Cricetulus griseus: one gene and its partners. The main gene of each other region encodes a partner of the protein of the gene in region 4 in a complex. Links are inferred from orthologs where the notes say so. Each region holds a gene or a part of one and is shown on either strand. Other genes may lie near its edges. The genes, in order: Hrh2, Gpr6, Vipr1, guanine nucleotide-binding protein G(s) subunit alpha isoforms XLas-like, Fzd7, Fzd6 and olfactory receptor 51E2.

What was found.
Region 1: the proteins of guanine nucleotide-binding protein G(s) subunit alpha isoforms XLas-like (region 4) and Hrh2 are in contact, whole or in part, in a cryo-EM structure (PDB 9IXJ), measured with the Homo sapiens proteins. The link is inferred for Cricetulus griseus from reciprocal best matches to the Homo sapiens genes GNAS and HRH2. Residues at the interface, in NP_000507.1 of Homo sapiens: Gln35, Arg38, Ala39, His41, Asp215, Lys216, Val217, Asp343, Leu346, Arg347, Thr350, Tyr358, Phe376, Arg380, Asp381, Ile383, Gln384, Arg385, His387, Leu388, Arg389, Gln390, Tyr391, Glu392, Leu393, Leu394; in XP_006714928.1 of Homo sapiens: Arg116, Ala119, Val120, Met121, Pro123, Leu124, Arg125, Tyr126, Pro127, Val128, Ile205, Val208, Ala209, Gln212, Ala213, Arg215, Ile216, Ile219, Ser220, Trp222, Lys223, Lys231, Ala232, Thr235, Leu236, Leu291, Asn292, Arg293, Asp294, Arg296.
Region 2: the proteins of guanine nucleotide-binding protein G(s) subunit alpha isoforms XLas-like (region 4) and Gpr6 are in contact, whole or in part, in a cryo-EM structure (PDB 8TYW), measured with the Homo sapiens proteins. The link is inferred for Cricetulus griseus from reciprocal best matches to the Homo sapiens genes GNAS and GPR6. Residues at the interface, in NP_000507.1 of Homo sapiens: Gln35, Arg38, His41, Val217, Phe219, Asp323, Asp343, Leu346, Ser349, Thr350, Arg356, Tyr358, Cys359, Phe376, Arg380, Asp381, Ile383, Gln384, Arg385, His387, Leu388, Gln390, Tyr391, Glu392, Leu393, Leu394; in NP_005275.1 of Homo sapiens: Met107, Asp165, Arg166, Ser169, Leu170, Ala173, Leu174, Thr175, Tyr176, Tyr177, Leu182, Ile248, Val252, Arg254, His255, Ala256, Gln258, Ile259, Leu261, Gln262, Gln263, His264, Lys276, Gly277, Thr280, Leu281, Arg332, Asn333, Gln334, Glu335.
Region 3: the proteins of guanine nucleotide-binding protein G(s) subunit alpha isoforms XLas-like (region 4) and Vipr1 are in contact, whole or in part, in a cryo-EM structure (PDB 8E3Z), measured with the Homo sapiens proteins. The link is inferred for Cricetulus griseus from reciprocal best matches to the Homo sapiens genes GNAS and VIPR1. Residues at the interface, in NP_000507.1 of Homo sapiens: Gln35, His41, Val217, Phe219, Asp323, Arg342, Asp343, Leu346, Tyr358, Pro361, Phe376, Cys379, Arg380, Asp381, Ile383, Gln384, Arg385, His387, Leu388, Gln390, Tyr391, Glu392, Leu393, Leu394; in NP_004615.2 of Homo sapiens: Arg174, His178, Tyr239, Leu240, Leu243, Leu244, Ala245, Val246, Ser247, Phe248, Arg252, Leu319, Lys322, Leu323, Pro326, Asp327, Ile328, Arg329, Lys330, Ser342, Leu345, Leu346, Leu391, Asn392, Gly393.
Region 5: the proteins of guanine nucleotide-binding protein G(s) subunit alpha isoforms XLas-like (region 4) and Fzd7 are in contact, whole or in part, in a cryo-EM structure (PDB 9EW2), measured with the Homo sapiens proteins. The link is inferred for Cricetulus griseus from reciprocal best matches to the Homo sapiens genes GNAS and FZD7. Residues at the interface, in NP_000507.1 of Homo sapiens: Asp381, Gln384, Arg385, His387, Leu388, Gln390, Tyr391, Glu392, Leu393, Leu394; in NP_003498.1 of Homo sapiens: Pro285, Ala364, Lys368, Trp369, Gly370, His371, Ile374, Ile450, Ile453, Met454, Asp457, Thr459, Lys463, Leu464, Leu467, Lys552.
Region 6: the proteins of guanine nucleotide-binding protein G(s) subunit alpha isoforms XLas-like (region 4) and Fzd6 are in contact, whole or in part, in a cryo-EM structure (PDB 8JHB), measured with the Homo sapiens proteins. The link is inferred for Cricetulus griseus from reciprocal best matches to the Homo sapiens genes GNAS and FZD6. Residues at the interface, in NP_000507.1 of Homo sapiens: Gln384, Leu388, Gln390, Tyr391, Glu392, Leu393, Leu394; in NP_001158087.1 of Homo sapiens: Arg226, Ala310, Lys314, Ser316, Cys317, Val396, Gln407, Lys409, Leu410, Phe413.
Region 7: the proteins of guanine nucleotide-binding protein G(s) subunit alpha isoforms XLas-like (region 4) and olfactory receptor 51E2 are in contact, whole or in part, in a cryo-EM structure (PDB 8F76), measured with the Homo sapiens proteins. The link is inferred for Cricetulus griseus from reciprocal best matches to the Homo sapiens genes GNAS and OR51E2. Residues at the interface, in NP_000507.1 of Homo sapiens: Gln31, Gln35, Arg38, His41, Asp215, Val217, Phe219, Tyr358, Phe376, Cys379, Arg380, Ile383, Gln384, Arg385, His387, Leu388, Arg389, Gln390, Tyr391, Glu392, Leu393, Leu394; in NP_110401.1 of Homo sapiens: Met58, Tyr59, Asp120, Arg121, Ala124, Ile125, Cys126, His127, Pro128, Leu129, Arg130, His131, Ala132, Leu135, Asn136, Asn137, Ile220, Thr223, Val224, Leu227, Pro228, Ser229, Glu232, Lys235, Ala236, Thr239, Cys240, Lys294, Thr295, Lys296.

The regions. Positions count from the first base shown.
Region 1 is NC_048596.1:273,264,966-273,267,918, reverse strand, and holds Hrh2 (histamine H2 receptor), read right to left. Parts: upstream 1,578-2,953; coding exon 501-1,577; downstream 1-500. UniProt on the Homo sapiens protein: The H2 subclass of histamine receptors mediates gastric acid secretion. Also appears to regulate gastrointestinal motility and intestinal secretion. Possible role in regulating cell growth and differentiation.
Region 2 is NC_048595.1:263,550,278-263,553,767, forward strand, and holds Gpr6 (G-protein coupled receptor 6), read right to left. Parts: upstream 2,029-3,490; coding exon 937-2,028; 3' UTR 501-936; downstream 1-500. UniProt on the Homo sapiens protein: Orphan receptor with constitutive G(s) signaling activity that activate cyclic AMP. Promotes neurite outgrowth and blocks myelin inhibition in neurons.
Region 3 is NC_048597.1:228,643,537-228,647,832, reverse strand, and holds the start of Vipr1 (vasoactive intestinal polypeptide receptor 1), read right to left. Parts: upstream 2,801-4,296; coding exon 2,723-2,800; intron 1-2,722. UniProt on the Homo sapiens protein: G protein-coupled receptor activated by the neuropeptides vasoactive intestinal peptide (VIP) and pituitary adenylate cyclase-activating polypeptide (ADCYAP1/PACAP).
Region 4 is NC_048599.1:4,771,606-4,775,703, forward strand, and holds the start of guanine nucleotide-binding protein G(s) subunit alpha isoforms XLas-like, read right to left. Parts: upstream 2,801-4,098; coding exon 448-2,800; intron 235-447; coding exon 1-234. UniProt on the Homo sapiens protein: Guanine nucleotide-binding proteins (G proteins) function as transducers in numerous signaling pathways controlled by G protein-coupled receptors (GPCRs).
Region 5 is NC_048595.1:413,755,485-413,759,609, forward strand, and holds the start of Fzd7 (frizzled-7), read left to right. Parts: upstream 1-1,325; 5' UTR 1,326-2,195; coding exon 2,196-3,914; 3' UTR 3,915-4,125. UniProt on the Homo sapiens protein: Receptor for Wnt proteins.
Region 6 is NC_048603.1:12,938,597-12,941,242, forward strand, and holds part of Fzd6 (frizzled-6), read right to left. Parts: coding exon 2,412-2,646; intron 407-2,411; coding exon 258-406; intron 1-257. UniProt on the Homo sapiens protein: Receptor for Wnt proteins.
Region 7 is NC_048596.1:96,622,213-96,625,036, reverse strand, and holds olfactory receptor 51E2, read right to left. Parts: upstream 1,464-2,824; coding exon 501-1,463; downstream 1-500. UniProt on the Homo sapiens protein: Olfactory receptor. Activated by the odorant, beta-ionone, a synthetic terpenoid. The activity of this receptor is probably mediated by G-proteins leading to the elevation of intracellular Ca(2+), cAMP and activation of the protein kinases PKA and MAPK3/MAPK1.

The DNA of each region.
Region 1 (2,953 bases), on a different chromosome or scaffold from region 4:
GCCCCTAGCACCGCCCCCCCCCCCGCCACTATGTCTGTCTTTCCCCAAGCTCTACTCACACACGGCCCACACTTTTGTTTCCACTGAGGTCCCATCTTCTGACCCCTGCCATTTTCCCTCCGTACTAACTTGAACACTCCCCAAGGAAGAGCTGATTTGCACATGGCTTTTGAATGACCCTCTAAGGGTCTAACTGGTCACTCGTAACTCCTAAGTGGCAGAGCTGGGCCTTCTACTTAGGCCACCCGAGTGGAAAGACCATTTAGTTAGAAAGAAGGGCCTCTGAGTTCTGGGGTGAGTAGCACTTTGTCCAGGTCCCAAATCAGAGGCCCTTGATGAGATCTCTCTTACCGTTAATGTGGCCTTTTAAAAACAAGGCAAATGTTCTACCCAAGAGAGCCATTGAGAGATGATTTCTGTAAAATGCGCACAGAATGGTCTCAGTGCCACCCACACAGAGGTGGGGGTGGGAGGAAGTCTCCTCTGACCCACACAGATGTTTACCTGTCTGGGGTTCCCTGGGGGTGTGTGATTTCTGTCCCACTCCTCACTTGGAGCTTCAGGGGCTTCTCCTCCTGCCATCTGCCTTCTTGGCTTTGGTTCCTGGACAGCAGAGAATTGTTCAGCCTCAGGGATGGTTTTTGGGAGTTGTGGCTGGCAAGCCTGCAGTGGAAGAGCTGTTGGTAAGCCATGCGGAAGTCTCTGTTGAGGGCAGCGTACAGGATTGGGTTCAGGGCTGAATTGGCGTAGCCTAGCCATAGAACAATGCCTTCAACCACCTCGTTGATGGCATCGTCCCCTCTCAGTCCACGATAGACAAATGTGGTGAAGTAGGGAAACCAGCAGATGACGAAAGCTCCCATGACTGCAGCCAGCGTCACGGTGGCTTTGTGCTCTCGAATGGTGGCTGCCTTCCAGGAGCTGATGTGGTTGATCCTTTTGGCCTGCTCCCTGGCGATCTTAAAGATTCTGTAGTAGGTGACACACATGATGAGAAGAGGCAGGTAGAAGGTGACCAGCCCGTCCACCAGCCCGTAGACCTCATTGACCTGAACTTTGCACTTGAAGGTATCATTGTCTCTTCTGGTCTCATTTCTGCTGTTCCATCCCAGGTGAATAGACAGGAAAGATAGGGTGATGGAAATGACCCAAATAAAGACCAAAGAAATGGCAACGCGAACTGGGGTGACCAGCACAGGGTACCTCAATGGGTCCGTGACAGCGCAGTAGCGGTCCAAGCTGATCATGAAGAGGTTAAGGATGGAGGCTGTGCAGAGCATCACATCCAGGCTGGTGTAGATGTTGCAGAAAACCTGGCCAAAGCTCCACTTGAAAGAGAGCTGGTAAATGGCAGAGAAGGGCAGCACCAGGAGGCCAAGAAGCAGGTCGGTCGCCGCCAAAGACACAATGAAGCAATTGGTCAGACTGCGGAGCCGACGGTTCAAGCTGACAGCCAGGCAGACGACCACGTTGCCAGCGACGGTGATGAGGATGAGGGTGGTGAGGATCAAACTGATGGTGACTTTCAGTACAGTAGAGTCTAAGCAACAAGAATGAATCGTGCCATTGGGCTCCATTCTGGGGCCCTGTAGCTTCTATACTCAACCTTGGCCTTGGCCACTTCTCTTCCAGCTCCAACCACTGGGCTTCAAGTTCCCAACCAAGCCAAAGAGGGGTGTTGGGGAGGGTCTAATAACTGGCCTAATGCTGTTGTAGTACTAATCAAGCTGTTGCTTGTGAAGTGCAGGACATAAATAAGAATAAAGTAAGACTAGGGCCTTCGCGGTTCAAACCGCAGTCCTCAGCTGGTCTTCCAAGTCACATTCCTTCCAGGTCTGTAGTATGCATCTACCTTCTAGATTTCTCATGGAGGCTGAGGCACTGGTGGCTGTGTCTTGAGGTGGTTTTGGTTTGTGCAAGGGATCATACACATAGGCTGTCATGTCCTTCTCCATGGCTAGTGCCTGCTTCCATCCATGGCATAAGGTCAGGACTATTAGCTGCCCTCTCTGGGGTCACAGCAGCTGAAGAGGCAAAGATTGAGTGTTTAGCACATCATAATTAGACCAACAGCATGGCCTGTTCCAAGGTAAGTCTTTCTTACTTCCAACACCTGGTGAGAAACTAGGAGGCATGGGGACTCTTCCAGGTACCCTTCCTTAGGGAAGACCAAGATGGTCAGAGCACATGATGGGACAGCAAAGGGTACCATGATGTAAAGGCTAGAATACCATGAGGAAGAAATAAATGGAAGGGTGGGTCTAGGAGAGGACTGCTTTCATCTGCTCCCAGCTGCTTGCTGGTGCCTGACCCCACCTGGAGGCATTTGTTATCTGTTGATTAATGATACATTGAATGAGTGGATAAAGAAATGCATAAAATTTACTCTTATTACACGTGGGGAGCACTCTAAACTGGGGACTGGAAGATTTTCAGAGAAAGAACCAGGCAGCCTGTATTCCTTTCTTTGTAGCCTGTGGGGTGTCTGCTGAATTGACAACTCAGCCACTGTAGCATAAAAGAAGCCACACAGGACCATGCGCAAAAGAGTGCGTGGGCTGTGTTCCAGTCAAGCTTTGTGATGGACAAGGAACTGTAATGAGAAATCCTCGTGTATCTGTTTAAGGGATATCAAGGACTTACTAAGATATAAAAGGGGAAAATACATTCACAAATACAGGATATGGTAAATCCAGTCCCAGAGTCCTTGGGAAGCAGGGGACCGATCACACACTGCTTCACATTACCTGGCCCAGTCTTCACCACCCAAGAGAGTGAGCGACCCCCTCCCTCCTTCCTTATAAGAGGTCAAGTAGGCAGACAAGACCTCCTTCAGGCCAGATATCCCAAGGTCATGGGCAGAGTGAATACCCACTACACTTCCCCTTCTTGTCTAAACAAGAAGGTTCTAAACCTAATACAAAAATATATACATTAAGAACAACAATCAAGT
Region 2 (3,490 bases), on a different chromosome or scaffold from region 4:
CCTTACTCCTTGCTACTAGATCCAATTAACAACAATGTGAATAAATCATATTTATAAAGTTATGTTGGGAAGTTGTGGCTTCAGGATTTATAGCTGCACCTATGTGGCTTGAATTGCTTTGTCCTCTGAAATATGTCTTTCTAACTCCAAGGGAGCACACATCACCAAGGGAGCACAATAACTTGTACCAGTAGCATACAGCCTTTCTGTGTTCTGTGAATACTGTCTATGAATGGTACTTCCTCCATGACCTTACCCCACCTCATGATCTGGAGATGGTATTTCAGGGAAAATGTAAGGACACATATGTAAATATATATGATTTCTTTGTATGAGGTTTTCTCTAAGGAGATGCTATGTAATATACTTTAAAAATAAACAGACTCATAATTCAGCTTCCATATTCATAATCCAGCCATACCCCAGATTATATTTTTATAATGTGTTTATTTGTGTACAAAATATGTTGTAGTTTATTGATGCATGTGCAGCAAAATATTCTATCACATACAACAAAAATACACCTTTGACTCCCATTCTCCTGCTCGTGGAATGGCAACACTGTTTTGGCATTTCAGCAGCTAAAAATAAAGTGCTATTATTAAGCAGTATTGGAATGTCTTCACTTGACAAATGTGATGTACATTTGTGATGTACAACTGAGTACACAACCACATCTTGTTTGTTGGTTTTTCATAGAACAGGAAGCTCCAGGTCCTGAACACCTCCAGAAGATACAAATACTTGTATATATATGTACATGTGTATACACTGTATATGTAAAGTGCCAACAAGCCTCATTGTCAGTCCCTTGTCTCCTGTAGAGTCAGAGTCACACCATTGAGATCTCGAGAGTTCATCAGCAGGCACCTAGAAGCTCACCAAAGGCTGGCATGTTGGGTTTGTGGTGTTGGTGAGGGGACACAGAGAAGCCCTTCAGACCTCACTGGGGGACCTGGAGCGGAATGGCACTTTGGATTGGAAACAGCCACAGAACAGGAGCCACAAGGCACGCTGGATCTCCTGGTTGCGGAAGGCATAGATGATGGGATTGATCATGGAGTTATAGGTGGCAGGCAGCAGGGTGACATAGGTGTAGATGGCCGGGTCCTCTTGACTACCCACCACACAATAGATGGCAAAGGGCAGCCAGCTGGCCCCAAAGGTGCCTAGCACCACGGCCAGAGTTCCCACTCCCTTTCTGGTGGCCGCTAGGTGGGGCGGCGCTAGGCAGTGCTGCTGCAAGGCGATCTGGTGGGCGTGGCGCCAGACCACCTGGCAGATGCGCACGTACAGGTGCAGCATGATGCCGAAGACCACAAAGAAGGAAGTGGAGAGCAGCGCCACGTGGCTGCGTGTCAGGGGGCGCACCACGCTGCAGGATGAGCGGTCAGCCAAGCAGTTCCAGCCTAGCACGGGCAGCAACCCCAATGCGAGGGACACTGTCCAGGTGGCTGCCAGCAAGAGGTGCACGCCCAACAGGGTCCGGCGCGAATAGTAGGTGAGCGCGTTGTAAAGGGACAGGTAACGGTCCACTGTGATAGCAAGCAGGCTGCTGACTGAGGCGGCGAAGGAGGCCACCAAGAAGCCCACCATGAGCAGGCTCACAGTTTCCGAGGGCACCACGTATTGGAACACGAAGTGTAGGATGAGGCCACAGCCCGCCAGCAGGTCGGCAGTGGCCAGACTACCCACGAGCACAAACATGGGTGTGCGCAGCGCGGGAGTGGACGCAATGAGCGCCACCACAAGCGCATTTTCGCCTGCGATCACGGTCCCCGACACACACAGCAACACATCCCAGGGATTCACTGCCGAAAGCAGTAGTCCCGACGGCCCTGCTGGCAGCTGCGATGACAGCTCCAGTGACCCATTAGGTCCGCCGCCGCCTCCCAGCGCCGCGGATGCTGCTGGGGGTCCCCATTCGCTGGTGTCCGGTGCCCCTGCTGCTGTGGCCGCAGCTGCCGCTCCCTCAGCGGCCACTGCCACCACCTGGGACTCGTTGAGCGAGGCGGCGCTCGCGTTCATCGCCGCCAGATGTTGCTCCCTGCACAAAAAGGGACCGCAGATTGTCAGGTGCACTCTCCAGGCTACCAAGGAACTTTCTCACGCAGGTGCCCTGTTCAAAATGCCTCACTCAAATTGCATATCCCAGCTCGGGCGCATGGAACATAGTGGGGAACTGGGGATAACAGGCGAACCCCAAATAAGTAAGCACCTGTTGAATGAATGAATGAATGAATGATATACACGGGGCTTCTGAGCTTTGGCACAGATACACATACAGATTACACTGTGCACTCGCATGGACAATCTGGTAAATATATATATGGGCTTGCACAAGCTTTCAAATAAGTCAGTCCTCTTGGAAATGGTCTTAGCTGGGCAAAGACGCTGTCCGAGGTGCTGAAAGCGAAGTTTCAGGTCTCAACATGCAGAGCAAGGAGCCAGAGACCTCGGGTCAGGAATTGGGAACAAAAGGACTAAGGGGGAGTGTGTTAGGTACGGTGGTTAAACCTCGCTCCGATTCTCTGACTCCTGGACAGACTTACTCCAGGACTGTCTCTTACCAAGTCGCCTTCCCCACACGCTCAAAATACCCCTGGGAGCCTGCCACTCACCTGGGGAGTCAGGGCTCCGGGAAGTCTCTGGTCATGCGCTCCGTGGCTGTGTGCCCGGCTATGCTCTCTGCATGGGCCAAACAGCTGCCTGCAGGAGGCGGCCCCGGCGTCCAGGAGGAAGGCGCTGGTCTCCTGTCGTTGAACCACCACCGCGAGTGACAGAGAGGCAGTGGCAGAGAAGGAGGCTGCGAGCAGCGCGCCCGCCCGAGATTGACAGGCGGGGCCCGGTGACGTCAGGCTCTGGGTTCTGGTTCCAGCGGATTACTCGCCACACCCGCCAGGCCAATCCTTCTTGACGTCCCCCACCCCTCACAGAGACATCTCAGAGAGCTCCAGAAGAGAGGAGAAGCCAGAGCCTCCACCAATCCAGAAACCTCCAGGAATGGGATGGGGATGAGAGGAGAGGGAGAAAGGAACAAGACCTGAGGCCAGGCACAGAGAGTGAGCAGGAAAAGGAAGGCGAGGGATGAGTGACAATAAGCCACAAAGCAAAGGTCAGAGCCAAGGATCACCCAGGGGTAGGTGAAGCAGCCATGGAGGAGAGGTTGGGACAGGGGCATCTGGAGAGAGAGAGACAGAGACAGAGAGAGAGAGAGAGAGAGAGAGAGAGAGAGAGAGAGAGAGAGAGAGAGAGAACTCGGGTAAAGTAGTTCTCTTTTAAGTGTTCACAGCGTTTGCATCGCTTGAGTAGAGCCAGGGAAGAAATGAGGAGGAGCCCAGGAGAGCAGGGAAAAGGAAATAAGAAGGACAGCTGGGACAAGCTGGCTTCTTCTCCAGGAGGAGTTTACCTGAGCAGTCCTCTCTCCCATTGTCTTTCTGAGTCCTGCTCTGCAGGTTTCTCCTCGATCTCCGCCCTTCTTTGCTGCTGC
Region 3 (4,296 bases), on a different chromosome or scaffold from region 4:
TGTGGGACCTAGGGTTCAGAGTAGAAAGTGGGGCTAGCTCTGCCCTCCCAATTCTCCTTCACACTGGGCCCAGGGTTCTCTCATCCAGTCAGAAATGGGGAAAACAGGTTCTTCTATAGAGGTTAGAGATGTTTTCCAAGCCAACTAGGCATGGCTGTGGGGTAGGACAGGGTTTAAGGCTCCAGTCCTAAGCTGTGACCCCAATGCAAGCTGCAGAAGCCTCAGAGGAGGCTAGGCCTCCAGAGTCTAGGAGGGGGAGGCATAAACCTCTAGAGGCTTCTGTCTTTCAGGGAGGCCCTGGGAGTCCTGAACAGGAATAACTAAGGTTGTCTCTAGTCCAGAAAGTAGCCTGGCCCAGTAGCCACCATATTTCCTAAAGTTCAGTGAGGTCTGCTGAGGCCAGAGGCCTGGGCAGTAGTGAGAGGACCCTGGAAAGGTTCATAGTAGTGGCCAGGAAGGACTCCTCCAGTGAGGTGTGACCCTCAGAAGCAGGACTTCCACCTGTCTGGGGATACTCAGAGGAGCCAGCCTTGCCCTTCATCCCAGCCATCCAGGTTCTAAGGGGACCCAGGGACTGGGCTTCTCTCCACCTTCTGGGGCCAGGCTAGCAAAGGCTGTTTTCACAGTTTACAGTTGAGGGTTGGCCAATGTAGCCAAACTTCATTTTTCTTCCAAGGGGGTCTGTCTGTCTGTCTGTCTGTCTGTCTGTCTGTCTGTCTGCTGTCACAGCAGCCCCGTCCCTCAGTTCTTAGAGGCTGTGCCCCACATCCATTCGAAGTCACTGGCTGTGCTGTGCTCCTGCAGCGGAAACTCTTAAGGACCTCAGACTGTCTCTAGTCTGAGTGTCCCCACCAGCTTGGCACTGTGCATCTGTCTGCTGCCCTGGGGGACAGGAGCTACGGGAGACCTTGGGACATACTTTACTTCCTTCTCTGGGACACCGGGCACCAGAGGGTTTCTTTTCTTTTTCCTTTCCTTTTTTTTTTTTTTTTTTTTTTTTTTTTTTTTGGCTTCCCTGTTCAAAGATTTCCCTTCCCAGGCCAAGGCAGGGCCCCATAAACAGAGCGATAAGGCTCTGTGCCTTCAATGTGAACTCTGCAGCTGCCATTTTATGGCTCTGATAACATGTCCCCCCCAAGTCCGGCTGGAGCAGGAACACTGGGTGTCCGTTCCAGGAGGGAGCAAGTAAGGATGGCAAGGCAAGAACAGGGACCCTCCTCCAGGCCAGGCGGAGTCCCTTCCCCTTCTTTTGTGGGCCGGGCCCTGAACTGGACCAAGCAGACAGTAAGTCTGACTCCACATGAGGGGCAGAGCAGCTCAGACGGGACGGGTAGTGGAACGGAAGGATGGGGTCAGAGTGGGAGATCTGAAGCAGTCAGGAAGAGGAAACCAGAAGTGGTGCTGAATGAATAAGACCCGGGAAGACAAGAAGAAGGGATTGGAGGGGCTGGGCTCAAGCTATGTCCAGATGGAGGGCACCTGGAGACCTCCAGTTGTGCAAAGACCCCAAAATGAACCTGAGTAGCTGGGACCCGGAGTTGGGAGAGCTGGAGAGTTGCTGCTATGTGGCCTGAAGACTGTGACGTGAAGAGACAGAGTTAGACGGAGTGTGGAGTGTGAGGAGGTGGGACTCTGAACTAGAGGAGGGGGCAGTTCTCAGAGGGCTGCACCTTCACCAGAGGATGAGCCCTCCCAGGTGAGGGTGTGCCAGACACCAGCTAGGTGGACACAGATTCACCTCCCAATTCCTGCTCTGGCGCAGGCGATGATAAGGGGAGGTAACCGTGGAGAGAACCCACTAGGTGACCAAGATTCCCCGCCCTCCTCCAGACAGCCTGCTGTTTCCACCAGAAAACACCTGGGAAAAGACTGTCTTGAAGCAGCAGACCCACAGGCCAGGAGCAAAGGGAGGAAGACGATCACCTCTACCCAAGTACGGCTGGCGAGGACAGGTGTGGCTCCTGTGGCCTCATTTGCCCTTCTGTAAAATGGGCAGACCTAGTCTTGAGATCCTCCTTACTCTCAGAGAAGGCCACCCAGCCGCATCTGCCCCACAGGCCTGGCGATCCATCCACAGCCACAGGATCACACCCACACACATACCGGTGTGCGAGGAAGAAGAGGTCGGAGGCAGAGCAAGGGCCCCTGCTTTCCCCAGCACATGCCAGTCCCTGCCACCAACTCTGACCTTTCTCTGCCCACCATCCTATAGTTAGAGGAGGCAGAGCACAGGGGACAGTCCTGTCACCCATAAGATACCAACGACCCCTTCCCAGGCCACAGGCATGAACGCTGCATCTGCTGCTAGCGGAGGTCTTCATATCCCACAAGTTCACATAATGCCCAGAGACGCTTGCAGACCCTCACAGCCTCCTTTCCACCTCACAGTCTACCGGATCTCCCATCTCACCAGGTCCTGCCACCCCCAGCTCTCCTCCCCACGCACCCCCACAGATACTCCTCGCAACGCCAGGCTGGGGCTCCCTCTCGCCCTCAACCTCTCCACCGCTGCCTGAGATCGCCCCGAGGTGAGCCCTCTAGGCTGTGCTGGGAGGGACCCGGTGCCATCGAGCTCCCACGCCTCTGGGCTAGACTCGGTCCCGGGTGGAGAGAGAAGATGAGAACCGCGCTCCTGCTGCCCCCCGATGGCCAGATGGCCCCAGATCCTCCGCCCCCGCAGCTCCCTCATTCCGGGGATCCGGGTGGAGGGGCGCACACTCACCGCGGGTCCCAGGGCGCAGGCGAGGGCTCCTGCCAGCAGGCAGAGCCAGCGGGCAGGCGGTGCGCTCGAAGGGCGCATGGTCCGCCCTGAGCCCGCCGCAGGCGGCCGCCGCGGTTGCGGGGTCTGCGGCTGCTGCAGCTCGGCAGAGAGGCGCGGGCCGGCGGCCCCCGCGCTGAGAGGCGCAGCTCCGGCCTGGAGAGGGCGGCGGGGGCTCGTCTGACGGGCAGCGGGGTCGCCCAATGGCGCGGCGGAGGCGGGGCCTCGGCGCAGGTAGGGGGCGGAGCCTGGGCGCCCGGGGGCGTGAGCGCGGAGTCCGCTAGCGGTGTGCGTCGTCGGGAGCCTCAGCTGGCGTCGTCCTAGCGGCTCCGCACCGCTCGGCGTTCCCGCGCCCGCACCTGCTCTCCCCGCCCAGGCCGCGCCCCCGGCCCTCGGTCCCCGGCAGCGCGCCCCTCCGGCCGTCCGCTCCAGGGGGACGGGGACCGGGTGGGTGGAGAGGAGCGGCCGCCTCCTTGGTTCCCACGCCGCGCGCAGCCCAGATTGCTGGACCAGAAGGGTCCGCCGCTTTCCGGGGCTCCAGACTGGGTTCCAACGGGGTCCCGCGGATCGCGCTGCCGGAGCCGTCTGTGGCCGGGGAGAAGCCGAGGGGAGCGCAGCCGGAGCCGGGAGCCCTGACCCGGGGTTCCTCCAGGCCGCTCTAGGGCCTTCGCAGGGCGCACTCAGAGATGGACGCGTCTCGGCCCGCGCAGCTTGCGAGGGACGCGGAGTCAACGCGCCAGCGCCACGGCGCGGGGACCGAAGCTGTACCTGTTCGCGGGCCCGGGCTGCCCGCAGACCCTTCCTCCCAGAGTCTGAGGTCCCCAGGAACCAGGAGCAGGGAGCGGTGCCCCGCGCTGCGGCTCCAAGATCGCGCCGGCCGGCCAGCCGGGACTGCGCTGCCTCCTACGCTTGTCTTTGGGACTCGGTTTACTGTGCGCTGGCGTGGGGCGCGGAGTCACCCGCTCAGAGCTCTCTGCGCGCCACTTATTAGGGAACCAGGGCAGATGCCTGCCCCGTCTTTCCGAGAGCTCGGGCGGTCCCAGTGAGAAGGTGATGTGGGGGGCTGACGGCGCGACGGGACAGAAGGAGGGAGGAGGGCCCGGGTGCGGTGCAGACACGGAGAGAGCCTCGTGTCCCTGCGCGCCAGTGCAGTGTGCGATCCTCTGGAGGAGGTCCGTCTCCAGGCGCTTTCTGGCCAGCAGGGGCGCGGGAATCTCCCCGAGGACTCTCTGGCCTTCCCAACCTGCAACGTGGGAAACTAGGGCTGTGGGCGTGGCCTTGAGGACGGTTACAGAAAAGTCTGGAAGCGACCCCTGGCCTTCCTCCATTTCTGTTGGCTGGGTGGAGCTTTCTACCCCCCCCCCACCTCATCCCCTACATCAGTGCACCGCACCTTCCTTGCTCTCTCTGCCCCGAACTTTATTAGTCTCGGATTCTCAGCCAGGCCTCCTACACACATCAGGGCATGGAGGTAAATGGATACCGGGGGCGCTCCCTGCCGTTTCTACTTCCTTATAGAGATTGGGCTAACTGGACAC
Region 4 (4,098 bases):
CAACAACAAGCTGTCTGAGTCGAAGCAGCCGTGCCAGGCGAGGCGGGGGCGCGCACCCCGATGGCCCTAGCCCACCGCGGTCACGAACAATTAAGCCGGGGGAGCCCCGAAGGGCCCTCCCCAGCAGTTCTGGGCTCACCTCACGCCCCCGCCTGTCCAGCCTACGATCGCTGGCGCTGGCGCTGGCCTCCGGCCGGTAACGACCCTCAGTGTCGCTCGGCACCACTTTTCTCCCTGGAGGGTATATACTTCGGCCACCCGAACCCTCAAAAAATCCCCTCTCCCACCCCCAGGGCAGAGTTGGGGTCCCTCCGTGGAACTTCTATCAGGGTTTCCAGACCCCCTCCTCCCGTGGTCAAGGCCCAAGCCCCACCGGAAGGCCCTACCACCTCCTCCCCGGGTGCCCAGGGCGGCCCTACTGCCCAGGGGCAGAAGATGCCGCATTACCTAGAAGCAGCAGGCGGTGTGTGCACATGTAATCCATCTTCTCCTCCTCCAGTTGCTTGTCGATGGCCTTGCTGCGTTTCTTATCTGCGCGTTTCTGCTCTCGCATCTCAATGGCCTCTTTGCGCATCTGTTTGCGCCTCTCTTCAAAAGGATCCTTGGCCTTCCCGGGGCTGAGGGAACGGGCTCTCTCGGGGGCTCCGAAGCAGCTTCCAAAGGTTCTGGTGAAGAAGTTGCGGATTGGGTTGCATCCGACCGTGTGGCTCCGGGTCTGGCCGGGGCGGCGGTTTCGTCGCAGAAGGTACTGGAAGCAGCCGTTGGCCCCTTCTTCCGACTCATCGCTGGAGGAGTCAATCTCGCAGATGACGGATGATACCTCCTCGTACCTGCAGCAGCTTCGGCCACGTTCATACTTGTCTGGCCAGGCGCTCGGCCTCGGAGCAGGCCGCGGAGTAGGCGGGTCAGCAACCTGGATCTCGGGGCTGGGGGGTCTAAGATGGGCCCTGCTCGGGGCGGGAGGGTATGCCCGGGAGGCAGACATTGACCGGGCGACAGAGATTGGGTGGCCCGCAGCGACTGCCCGGGCAGCAGAGGCTGCCCGGGCGGCGGCAGCTGCACGGGCCGGGAGGCATGCCCGGGCGGCAGGAGTAGCCGAGAGTGACCTGGCTCCCCAGACCAGAGGACCTGCATAGGCTGCCCTAGCGGCAGTTGCCCGAGCGGAGGCTGGCATCGCTGGGGCGCCAGGGACTGCCCCGGCAGCCGGATGGGCTCTGGCAGTGGGGATTGGCCGGGGAGCGGGCTCCGGAGGGGTGACAGGGGCTGCCCGGGCGGCAGGCTCTGCCTTAGCAGAGACTTCCGCCGCTGCGGGCTCCACCTGGGTGACGGGGGCTGCCCCGGAGGCAGGCTCGGCCTTGGCGGCAGGGACTGCCTCGGAGGCTGGCTCCTCCGCGGCGGCTGGATCTCCTCCACCTTCAGACTCGGCAGGGGTGGCTGCTGCTGCGATGACCGGGGCTGCTCCTCCGTCAGGCTCCGCGCGGACAGCTGGGGTGGCTCCGACTTCTTCGGGATCGGTTTGGAGATCCGCGGGTGTTGCTGGGGCTGGAGGAGAGCCGCCGCTGGCAGCCGCGGAGGCGGCATCTTGTTCGGTAGCGACGGTCTGGGCAGCTGAGGCTGGCTTGTCATCCATGGCTTCTGGCTGGGTGAAGGATCCGTCTCTTCTCTCCGGAGAAGGGACTTTTCCTTCCACCGCAGCAGCGGTGGTTGGGCTTCCTTCCATGTCGGCTGCTTCTCGCTCAACTGGGGGTCTCTCTGCGCCGCGCTCGCTCTTATCTTGTGCTCCGGAGACTTCGATGGGCGGGCCAACACTTGCGATTGGGGGGCCGTCCATATTGACAGTTGTGTCGTCGCCGACCCTAGAGGAGGCTCTGCCAATCTCCAGCGGGGGTCTGGAGATCTCCATTGGGGGACTGTCGCAGGCGAAGTTAGCGGGAGCTCTGATAGCCTCGCTGAACGGTCTGTCAATGGCGCTGTGGACCCAGAGGGGAGGCGCGTTCTCGGCGGGAGCGAGACTGAGCGCACTCGGGACCGCGGCTGTCGGGAACTCGCCGCCAAAGCCGACTTGTCGGGTGACTCGGGGGAGGCCCGGGGGTGGGCTATCGCCCCCAAATTCTTCTCCATCGGGCCCAAACGGCACAGACTCTTCAGGTGGAGGGCTGTAGTCATCTCGCAAGCTAGCGATTGCAAATCTGATGTTCCCGGGCTCCGCGGGAAGTGCTCTGAGGACCTCTGCCTCCGGACCTCCTGGCGCAAGGTCTGGGACTGGCAAGGGCGACTGGCTATGGGCTTCCTGGGCAGGCTCGTTGAACTCAAATGGCATAGCTTCTTCTGGTGGGGGGCTGTAGGTTCCCTGGGCGGGGCTCGCACCACTGGGGGTCCCGGGCTCCAAAAGCGCTGGATTGAAGGTTTTGAGACCTGCTTGGGCCCCAGATCTTCCAGGCTGCTCCAGGGTGGGCCAGAAACCTCCGGGGCTGGGCTGTTTCGTCTCAAATGGCATGGATTCCTCTGGTGGGGGGCTATAGTCTCCACCCACTCCGACTTCCTCGACCGCCTGGTGGACGCCCTGAAAGTCGGTTCCGGAGACCCCCTGGGGTCCATAGCCCTCAGCGCCGTTCTCGGCGGGGATGGGCTCATTGGCAGACGGTTCGGCCTCCATTTCTTCGGCTGGGCCAAGCCCAGCACCGGGGGCAACTGCCCCTGGGGCCTCCAAAGGTTCTTGCTCGGGCTGCTCCCCGACTTCACCGGGGATATCGTGTTGTCCTGGCATATTGTTGCCGTGGACGCGGCTGCGCATGCCCATAACACGGTTGCGGTTTTTTAAAATAAATTTGGGGCCCCGTAAGACGGAGCACCCAGCCAAACTAGGGTCAAAAAATTTTTTCTTTTAAAATATTCGAGTATTGGCTGGAAAGTTCTCCAGCCTCAGTTTCCAATCTTTGTAAGGATAGATTCTGAGAGGCTAAAACTCAAGATCGTGGCTGAAGTACCTCATTTCTTGCTGGGAAGACCCGGAGCCTCCGGAGCCACACTTCTGCCTTCAAGTTGCGGTCGGCCAGCCACTCCCACGACTTTTCTGGACTCTCTTCTTACTTTGCTAACTTTGGCCCCGCCTTCTTGGCATCTAAGAGCGTGCCGATTCGTCTCGAAAATCGTTAGTAAAACTCTTTCTCTGCCGCCAGAGGACGCCGGTCTCAGTGCTAAGCCGGCTCCGGGAGCTGGCTCCCGGTGCCGGCAGTTCCCGACTTTGGGTATGGGGGCTGATGAGCGCAGGCCTCGCAGGGAGGTTCGCCTCCTTCCTCTCCTCTCCCAGACTGCTTCTGAGTCTGAGCTCCTCGCTTTTCCCCTGGCCAGAGAGAGAGAGCGCGCTCTCCTGCGTTGCTGGGCCACGTGACGTAAGACGTGGGCATTGGTCTGACAGAGTACAGGCGCTGAAACCCTCCCGCCCCATCAGATTCTTCCCGAGGGGAGGAGGGACTGCAGGAGGACTTTGTCACCCCAGATTACCCCAGTCTGCGGCAAACACCTTATCCGAGGACCCCAGCCTCGGGCAATTACCCGTTCTCAGCTCTGAGTTGGGGAAATGAGCCTTTAGGATGCCCGGGAAGGGGTAGAGGAGCGATCATAAAAATGCGACAGGTGGTCGTGAGCCCACCGGAAAGGCGGAGAGGGGATGAAGGGCGATGAGTTGTCAAATATGAACACGCAGTTTGTTTTTTAAATGCTCCGGGGTAATTTTATTATTTTTTTTTAAATGTTTTTGTTTGCTGTTTGTCAAGGATAGCTTCGGTAAATCCCCCTTCAATATGCCCCTTCCCCATTACACTTCCGGTGGGGGGGCTCTCAGCAATAGCCTAGCGTGACGCATCAGGCTTCGGCTTGTTTATGTGGATGGTGACGCAGTAGAAATAAGGGTCTCGGCGGTACACTGCGGCAAAATCGAGCAAAGACCCCTACGCGGTTACCGCTGCGGCGCCGGCGGCGCAGATAGGGGAGGGGGCGCGGGGCTTACCGGAAGACCCCCACCTAGCACGGGCTTCTGCCTTCTCAGGAAGGGGGAATGGAGACTGGGTGGGATACGTGGGATCGTGACCCATTTAG
Region 5 (4,125 bases), on a different chromosome or scaffold from region 4:
TCCTGGAGGCAATGACTCCTGCCAACATTCAACATTCAAACTGATCAAAAATCTCTCATATACCGGCAACCAACTGAGACAGGTAGAAAGTAGGACTCAGCCAGGAATGACGTTTTTTTGAAAGTAAGACTTCAGGGACGACAGAGAGATTCAACTTGTCACTTCCCTGCCCGGGAATTCATAATATTCATGATATTCCTTGCTGGCCCCTCTGAGAGAGCAGAGGTCCCTTAGTAACTTCCGACCGGTCCGGGACAGGCAGACAAGGCGCACGAGCGCCCAGTGCCTGGAGCAGGGTTAAGATTTGACCGAGGACAAAAGAACGCTTGCCAATCAGAAAAACGCTATCCCAGAAGGAAAATAACCCCTCTTTGTGTCTCAAAAGCCCTTTAATTAGCAAATGCCCTGGTTTCTAACGCGCTTTAAAACTTTTCTATGTAGATTCCAAATGCAAAGATCAAATGGTTGCTTCTGCAACGAAAACGGGACCCCCGAAGGCCACACAGGGCAACCGAAGGCGCTCAGTAAATCGTACGGAGAGTCCCGGGTACTCGGTCTCAGGTTGCTTTCATAAGCATTCCCCCAGCACTGCCTTAGCGTCCTCCAACCCCACCCCCAACCTCTCGGGCTCCCTACGCTCCCCACAGTGCGCGCGGGCGGGGTGGCTGGCTCTTGAGTCCCGCGCACCCCCAGCTCTGGGCCCTCTCCTCCGAGGGTCTGCACTTCCTCCCGCCACAAGTCCCCACCTCGGCCGACTCGGGTTTCTCCTTCCAGGAGGCCCCCTTCTTTGTAACTGGGGGGAGGGAGAGGGGATTGTGGTTTCATGTGGTCGTTTGGGTATGGGGAGAAAAGAGCGATCTTCAGTCGCAGCCCCTTCCCGACCCACACTGATGCTAACCAAAAGCCTCCCGCCCAAGCCAGCCAGGCTAACGTGACTCTGGGTCACGTCTCTCCGCCCAAGCGCTGCGCTATTCTCAGCGTCTCGCCGAAGCCTTTGGCGAATGCGCCCTTCTGCTCAGGAATGTGTGTTTTAGGGTATCCGGAAGAGGAACCAATCTTTCAAACAAATTCCCTTTCTGGTGCGTTCTTCTCCCCTGAGCAAATTCTGGGTAAAAGTTTCTCCTAACTTTTCTCTCCCAGTCCCCCGCCCCTCCCCTCAGGAATCCGCCCAGAGCGCTTCAGGCACCGCCTTCCTCGTTCCCTCGGCCGCCCCTTCCGACTTCCACCCAATCGGAAGGCGTCTACAGAGAAAACAAAGCGCGCTATTGGGCCTCCGGAGGGCTCGGGGCCCGCCCCCGGAGTGGTTTGTGAATGGGGGGAGGGGAGGGGGCGGGGCGGCCCGAAACCCTGCGAGCCCGACGCTTCTTCTAGCCACCAGCGCGGCTCCCAGGCGTTACTCTGCGCTCCTTCCCTGGCGGGCGGCGGCGGACGCGGGGACTCGCCGGCCGGGACTGAGCCGGCAGGAGAGGCCGAGAGCAGACAGGCCGCGGGTGCAGGAGCCTCGGCGCTTGGGATTCCGCGCAACTGGGTTTCCAAAAAGAACTCGCCCAGCTCTTAGCTCCTGGGGACCGATCGGACTCAAATTGAGAACCAGACGTTTGACTGAAACTTGGGGCCGACCTTCCCCGGGCTGAAGGAGGCTCGAGGTTCGGAGGAGGAGGAGGAGGAGGCGGCGGCCCGCGGGGCCTCGAGGCGAGAAGGCGGAGCTGCACCGCCGAGGCGGCGGCCGGGGCGAGCAGGCGGGGACGCGGGGCTCTGGTCTGGCGGAGGCCCTACCCGGTGTGGGGACGTGGGCATCGCCGTGCGCCCGGGGCTCGAGAGACTTGGGCAAACTTTGAAAGGTAACCGGAGACGCTTGGAGCCCGTCGCCCAAGAGAAAGCCGCACCGTTACGTCTCGGCGGGGAGGGTAAGGCGACACCCCACCCCCGATCCCCCAGCCCAGGCCCAGGAGTTTGAGCCCCCGGCGGCCGCGTGAGTGCCACGCGGAGGCGGCTGCGGCGCCCCCTCGACTGGCGGCCTCGCCCCCGCCGTGCAGGCACCTAGCGCCCTCGGCTCCGCGCCGCCCACGGCCCGGCCCCGGCGCCGGGAGGACTCTCATGCGCCGGGCGCGGCGGCGCCTCCCTGCATCCAAGCCGCTCCCCAGCGCCTCGTCTTTTTCCCCCAGCTGAGAACGCCACTGCACTCGCGGCCCGCGATGCGGGGCCCCGGCACTGCGGCGTCGCACTCGCCCCTGGGCCTGTGCGCCCTGCTGCTGGCGCTTCTGGGCGCGCTGCCTGCGGGCACCCGGGCTCAGCCGTACCACGGCGAGAAGGGCATCTCGGTACCGGACCACGGCTTCTGCCAGCCCATCTCCATCCCGTTGTGCACGGATATCGCCTACAACCAGACCATCTTGCCCAACCTGCTGGGCCACACGAACCAAGAGGACGCCGGCCTCGAGGTGCACCAGTTCTACCCGCTGGTGAAGGTGCAGTGTTCTCCCGAGCTGCGCTTCTTTTTATGCTCCATGTACGCGCCCGTATGCACGGTGCTCGACCAAGCCATTCCTCCGTGCCGCTCCCTGTGCGAGCGCGCCCGCCAAGGCTGCGAGGCTCTCATGAACAAGTTCGGCTTCCAGTGGCCTGAGCGGCTGCGTTGCGAGAACTTCCCGGTGCACGGCGCCGGCGAGATCTGCGTGGGCCAGAACACGTCTGACGGCTCCGGGGGCGCGGGCGGCAGTCCCACCGCCTACCCTACTGCTCCCTACCTGCCAGACCCGCCTTTCACTGCCATGCCCCCCTCAGATGGCAGAGGCCGGTGGTCTTTCCCCTTCTCGTGCCCGCGCCAGCTCAAAGTGCCCCCCTACCTGGGCTACCGCTTCCTAGGTGAGCGCGATTGCGGTGCCCCGTGTGAGCCCGGCCGTGCTAACGGCCTTATGTACTTTAAAGAGGAGGAGAGGCGTTTCGCCCGCCTCTGGGTGGGTGTGTGGTCGGTGCTGTGCTGCGCCTCGACGCTCTTCACGGTGCTCACCTACCTAGTGGACATGCGGCGCTTCAGCTACCCAGAGCGACCCATCATCTTCCTCTCGGGCTGCTACTTCATGGTGGCCGTGGCGCACGTGGCGGGCTTCCTGCTGGAGGACCGTGCCGTGTGCGTGGAGCGCTTCTCGGACGATGGCTACCGCACGGTGGCGCAGGGCACCAAGAAGGAGGGCTGCACCATCCTCTTCATGGTGCTTTACTTCTTCGGCATGGCCAGCTCCATCTGGTGGGTCATTCTGTCCCTCACTTGGTTCCTGGCAGCTGGCATGAAGTGGGGCCACGAGGCCATCGAGGCTAACTCGCAGTACTTTCATCTGGCCGCATGGGCTGTGCCGGCAGTCAAGACAATCACCATCTTGGCCATGGGCCAGGTGGACGGGGACCTTCTCAGTGGAGTGTGCTACGTGGGCCTGTCTAGTGTGGATGCGCTGCGGGGCTTCGTGCTTGCGCCCCTCTTCGTCTACCTCTTCATCGGTACGTCCTTCCTCCTGGCCGGCTTTGTGTCTCTCTTCCGCATTCGCACCATCATGAAGCACGACGGCACCAAGACCGAGAAACTGGAGAAGCTCATGGTGCGCATCGGCGTCTTCAGCGTGCTCTACACGGTGCCGGCCACCATCGTGCTGGCCTGCTACTTTTACGAGCAGGCCTTCCGCGAGCACTGGGAGCGCACCTGGCTCCTACAGACCTGCAAGAGCTACGCTGTGCCCTGCCCTCCGGGTCACTTCCCGCCCATGAGCCCCGACTTCACAGTCTTCATGATCAAGTACCTGATGACCATGATCGTGGGCATCACTACCGGCTTCTGGATCTGGTCTGGCAAGACCCTGCAGTCATGGCGTCGTTTCTACCACAGACTCAGCCACAGCAGCAAGGGGGAGACTGCGGTATGAGCCCCGGTCCTTCTCCCAACCTTGCCACTTCTCCCTCCTTGTAGGAGGAGAGGCATGGTAGGGAAAGAACTGCTGGGTGGGGACTTGTTTCTGTAGGCTACCCCCTCCTCCACTGAGCTTTAACATGGAAGTGAGAAGTTAATTGGAGGTGAGAAGAGATTTGGGGTTAGAGGTGGTTTTGAGAGAGGGCCTGAGTGAAAAGTCAAAAGGC
Region 6 (2,646 bases), on a different chromosome or scaffold from region 4:
ATTGTCCAGCCACAGCTATGAAGTCTGCACCACAAGGAGGCTGATAGCCAAATCAGTGGGAAATGAAAAACCAAAAAATCTACATACAGCACATCAGATACAATATATATAAAGAACCAAGACAAACTATTTACTCCTAAGTATGTGCTGATATTACAGAGCATTCCATGGTTTGAATTGCTAGCACTTTAGGTAAACTCATGGGTATTTTTGTCTGTTTACTCTTAAACAATCTTAAGACATCAGTCCACACTTACTCTCGCTTGCGGTTTCGTTTGAAGAAGCCGGCCCATTCTGTGCAGGTCTTTTTGCTTCCAACCCAGAAGACTGCAGAGATGCCAACGATTAATGTCATCAGATATTTTATCATAAATAAAGCCAGGTCTGGTCGAGCTCCTGGGTTTGCCTACAAAAACAAAATAAAAAACAACATACTTAAAATATAAAGAAAAATCTGCAATGTCAAAGTTGGTGCAAATTATAAACCTTCAGTCTGTTTGAAGTAAATAACACAGAGGAACAACGGTTTAAGTCCAGCACAGTTTTATGACGTTCTGAACAAGGAACTTTTATGTGTGTCAAAATGTGGCTCTCAACAGAAAAAAGTACTAACGGTTTTCAGAATCTTGGTGTGACTTCTTGACTGCTTCCTCCCCTACTGGTAAAGTGGCCTCTTGTAATTACTAAGGTATCTGTCTAAGTATTTACCTATTTTCCTTCACTATGATCTACGTTAAAATATATTTAGGGGCTGGAGAGAAGGCCAGCAGTTGGGAGCACTGACAACTCCTGCAGAGGACCCAAGTTCAGCTCCCACCACCCACATGCTGGGTCACAACCACCTATAACCGTCCCAGTGCTCCCTACTGTCCCTGGTGGCACAAAGCATACATGGGTGCATATACATGCATGCAGGCACACACTCATACATAAAAACAAAAATTAAAAAACACATTTTCTAGTCCTTCTGCATCAATGCACATGTTGTTAAAATTTGTCTGGCTACCACAAAACCAATATTATTAAGATGTGAAAATGTAGAAATTTCATAAAATTTTGTTTAGAGCATCCATTTTCAAATGCTGTTGTGAGTGTCCGAGTACAAAAGTATTACACGGATAGCATTGTATCTTGTTTTTTGTGCTAATTAATATGCCCAGGGCACATACAGAGCTTTGCTTTTAAAGGCATGTTCGTTTGTGGACTCTGCTTTCCTCAACTAGCCCCTATTTAAACGTGTTTACGTTGCTTCCCACCTAGTTCCAACTGCAAATAATGCTGCGCTGCCTATCCCTGTATTATTTAAAGTGATTCTCCAGGAGGAGCTAAAAAACAGGAGGAAAACAGGGAGGGATGGATGGGACAGAGGGAGAAAGGCAGAGGCTCGAAGAGGAATGGAGAAGCCATCAGGTCCAGGGTTCGAGGGCTGGGGAAGTTCTCCATCACCAAGCGACACCCCCAGCCAGATAAATCCTAGTTTCCTTGAATTACTCAATTTATTTGAGACAGAATCTCACTACATTGCCCAGCCTGACTTCAAACTCAACAATTCTTCTACCTCAACCACCCAAGTATACAAGCACTCTGCATACTCTTAAGATTTATGTTCTGGAAACCCCAAATTTTCTTCAAAAATTCAACTGAGATGCTTTAAGAAATTACATGTTTTCAGGAATTTACAATTTTCCACTTTAAAAAGCACCTTATAATACTCATAAGCGTCAGAGACACATTTTCAATTGTGTGTTCTTCTCAGTTAAGAATGACAGGATGGGCTGGGCAAAAACCAATTTCTATTTTTAGAAGCATACACTGCACAAAAGGTTAAACCCAAACATAGGGTTTTCCTACTAATAGAGGAGCTGAAAGAAAAAAAATAAAAACCTTTCTAATTTAGTAGAATTTACTTTTCCTTTTATACCTCTGACGAGGCCTATTCTTCATAATTGTTAATCTGATTTTTTAACCCAATTTAATTGTTGCTTTCAGTTTAATGCTTAAAATAGCTACAGGAGACTTGCTGTATTATTATTATTATTATTATTATTATTATTAATTATTATTATTATAACTACAATCATTATTTTTGTTTTTTGGGGGGGAGGTTTCGAGACAGGGTTTCTCTATGTAGCTTTGGAGTCTGTCCTGTCACTCACTCTATAGACCAGAGATCAGCATCCCTCTGCCTCCCAGGTGCTGGGACTAAAGGCGTGCACCACCAACGCCCCAGGGAGACTTGCGGTATTATAACTGTAACTAGAGCTACGGATTGAGGAATGACCTCTTAGCACGTCACCCAGCCTGACCGGAGCACAGGGAATGACTCCCTATGTCTGTTAGGACTTCTCGAACTGAAGTCTGATTTTCTGACCACGAGTAAACAGTGTCATAATCCAAACGGTCGCTCCTACCTGAAAAGGACACGGGATGCGGTACTGGCGACAATGATCGGAGAACCAAGTTATCTCCCAGGTGACCCTGTTCACTAGCTCATAGACGTAGCAACCTAGAAGTGTCACCAAGGGCACAAGATACAGGCCACTGAAGACTCCAATTCGAATCATGAACTTCTTTAGTTTCTCTTGGTTTCGGCCGTCGTGTTGTATAACTTGTCTAACGTGATTCAAGGAAATGATGCCAGCTAGA
Region 7 (2,824 bases), on a different chromosome or scaffold from region 4:
GAAAGGCTGAAAAACACTTGTCATTCAGCCTGGACCATCTTAAGCATACATGATACATTCATAAGCATTACTATTTAGAGTTTGGATATGTTCCTGGGTAGTGAATAATAAACTTGAAGTGAAGGAAACAAATCTTGGCTACCATTTTAGAAGTTATGCATAACAGCTGAACAATAGCTTCACGACAAAGAGAGTATGAATAAAACAAAGTCATTGATAATTTGAACCTATTCCATCCAAATGACAAACCTGGCCAGTTAGTTTAAATCACAATTCCTATTTTCTTTTTCATCACTGTGTCTCATTTTATAGCAGAGTCTTTAAGCAACACAATATTCATTGATATATATTATTTCACATTATATCCACGATGAAGATAAACCATACTTTAGTTCACTATCCCATCCAGGGAAAAGCACTAATGTGCTTATGGGAATTAAACAGGTCTGATCAATTACTATATTAAGCTCTCTAGAACAAGGGTGATGGAATGGTAAGGGTCACGTGTTTCCTCCAGCTTCAATGTCCTTGTCACAGCTGATCTTGAGCATAGCCAGCACCCGTGTTCTGATCTGCTTTGTCTTAGCACCATAGATGATGGGATTGATCACCGGGGGCAGCAGAAGGTAGACATCCCCCATGAGAACATGCACAATAGGGTCTAGGCTGTTTCCAAAACGGTGTACCACTGATAAGCCAATGAGTGGTACATAGAAAGCCAGAACCACACCAATGTGTGACACACAGGTTCCAAATGCCTTAGCTCGCTCTGACTTGGAAGGCAGTTGCAGAACTGTTCGTATAATCAGAAAATAGGACAAGGAGATGAACATGACATCTACACCCATGACGAGCAGAATGGCAGTTAGGCCATAGACTACATTGGGCAATGTGTCTGTATAGGCCAACTTCATCACATCCTGATGGACACAATAGGAATGGGAGAGCACATTGGAGTGACAGAAGGCCAGCCGCTTGATCAGTAGTGGGAGTGGGAAAAAGAATAGGGATCCCCGGACCAGAGCCACCATGCCGATTTGGGCTGTCACTGTATTGTTGAGCACAGCAGCATGACGCAGTGGGTGGCAGATGGCCACATAACGGTCAAAGGCCATGGCCAGCAGGATGGTAGATTCAACTGCCGAGAGAGCATGAATGAAGAACATCTGGGCAAGACAGGCATCAAAAGTAATCTCCCGGGAATCAAACCAAAAGAGGGCGAGGATCTTGGGCATGGTGGATGTGGACAAAGCCAGATCAATAGCTGCCAGCATGCAGAGAAAGAGGTACATGGGTGCATGCAAGCTTCGCTCTGTCCTTACGATGAACACGACGATGCAGTTTCCAAACAATGCCACAGCATACATGGAAAGCAGTGGGAAGCCAAACCAAAATTGAGCTTCTTCCAGTCCTGGGATACCAATAAGCACGAAGGTGGCATGTGTGAAATTGCAGGAGCTCATCGCTGACACCAAGTGAGTAGTACTGGAGAGGGTGAGGTCACACTGACAGCCTGCAAGGACATGGAGCAGAATGAGAGAGTCCCCTGGAGCTTGATTCTCCAGAGAGTCCCCTGGAGCCCTCCCTCCCTTCTCACTCTGCCTCCATCTACACCTCAGCTCTTTCATAAGCTACATGGCTTTCTTTTCCAAAGGAAGAAATGTAAATGCTGAAAACTAGTTTATTATTCACCATTACTAAGGGACACTTAAAATTTCAAAATAAAGCTTTGGTGGAAAAATACTTATCCCCGAAGTGTGACTTCCTCGAAACCTCTTTTTGTCTCTACCTGGACTGTCTGGATACTAGGCACTCTACATTTTGTAAAATTACCATATTAACTAACTTTTCAGATAGAGATATCACCTTCCCTTGCTCTCCCCATCCCTTCCCTGTTATTCTCATCTTCGTTTTATCCTTCTTTATTTCTGCTTTCCTTCCTTCACCATTTTTCTTTCTCCTCCCTCTCTCTCTCTTTATATTTATTAATTCAAATTTCAGAAGTAATTGCTTGAATGACCTGTTAAGCACAATGCTGTTTTTGAGACACAGATCTGGGAATCATTCCTTTGGGCCTCCACAAGGCTTGCTTAGGACAGGAGATGGATAAGTAACAGATACATTAGAGCATTGTGGTAAAGCTAGCAGAAGAGATTCATTGATTTCAGGGGATGACAAAGACAGAGGAGCTTTCCTAGACATGATGTTCATTTCATTTCAGTCTTGGAGCATGAGCAGAATTAGGTAGATGGAAGAGACAATAAAGGATTTTCCAAGGCAGGAGGAATAGAAAATGCTTTTCAAAAAAAGAGAAAGAAAAGAAAAGAAAAAGGAAACTTATCTGGACTCAGAGAACCAAACGTACCAGCTCCTTGGAACTCTCTCTTTGCAAATGAAGATGCCGGCAGGATCCATTACCTCCAGTAGCTGGCCAGCAGCTAACTGGTTGCTTGGAAGTCACCACCAAGGGTGTTTTCAAAGCCCTGATTTGGGGAGCAGTATTACTGATTTTTTTATGATGGTATTCTGAGGATTTCCCTTGGGATCTGTGCCAGTCAGTCATTCATGTCAAGGGAGGGGTTTCTTCTCTCGGTTTTCCGGAGCCCAGTGTTGCTTTGTTTCAATCTCATTCCCATCTTATCATCTGAGTACTCACATAAAACTCTTTCTCTGCCAGACTCCCTAATGTCCTGTTTTTAGAGCTGGTTAACTTCAGCAGTTACTGGCTTGGGTATGAGAATCAGGGGCTTTGATGCTAAGAAGCAGATGATGCAGGTGTCCTTGTTGACAGTATCCAGGGTACCCTGATTAATTTGTTTATCTC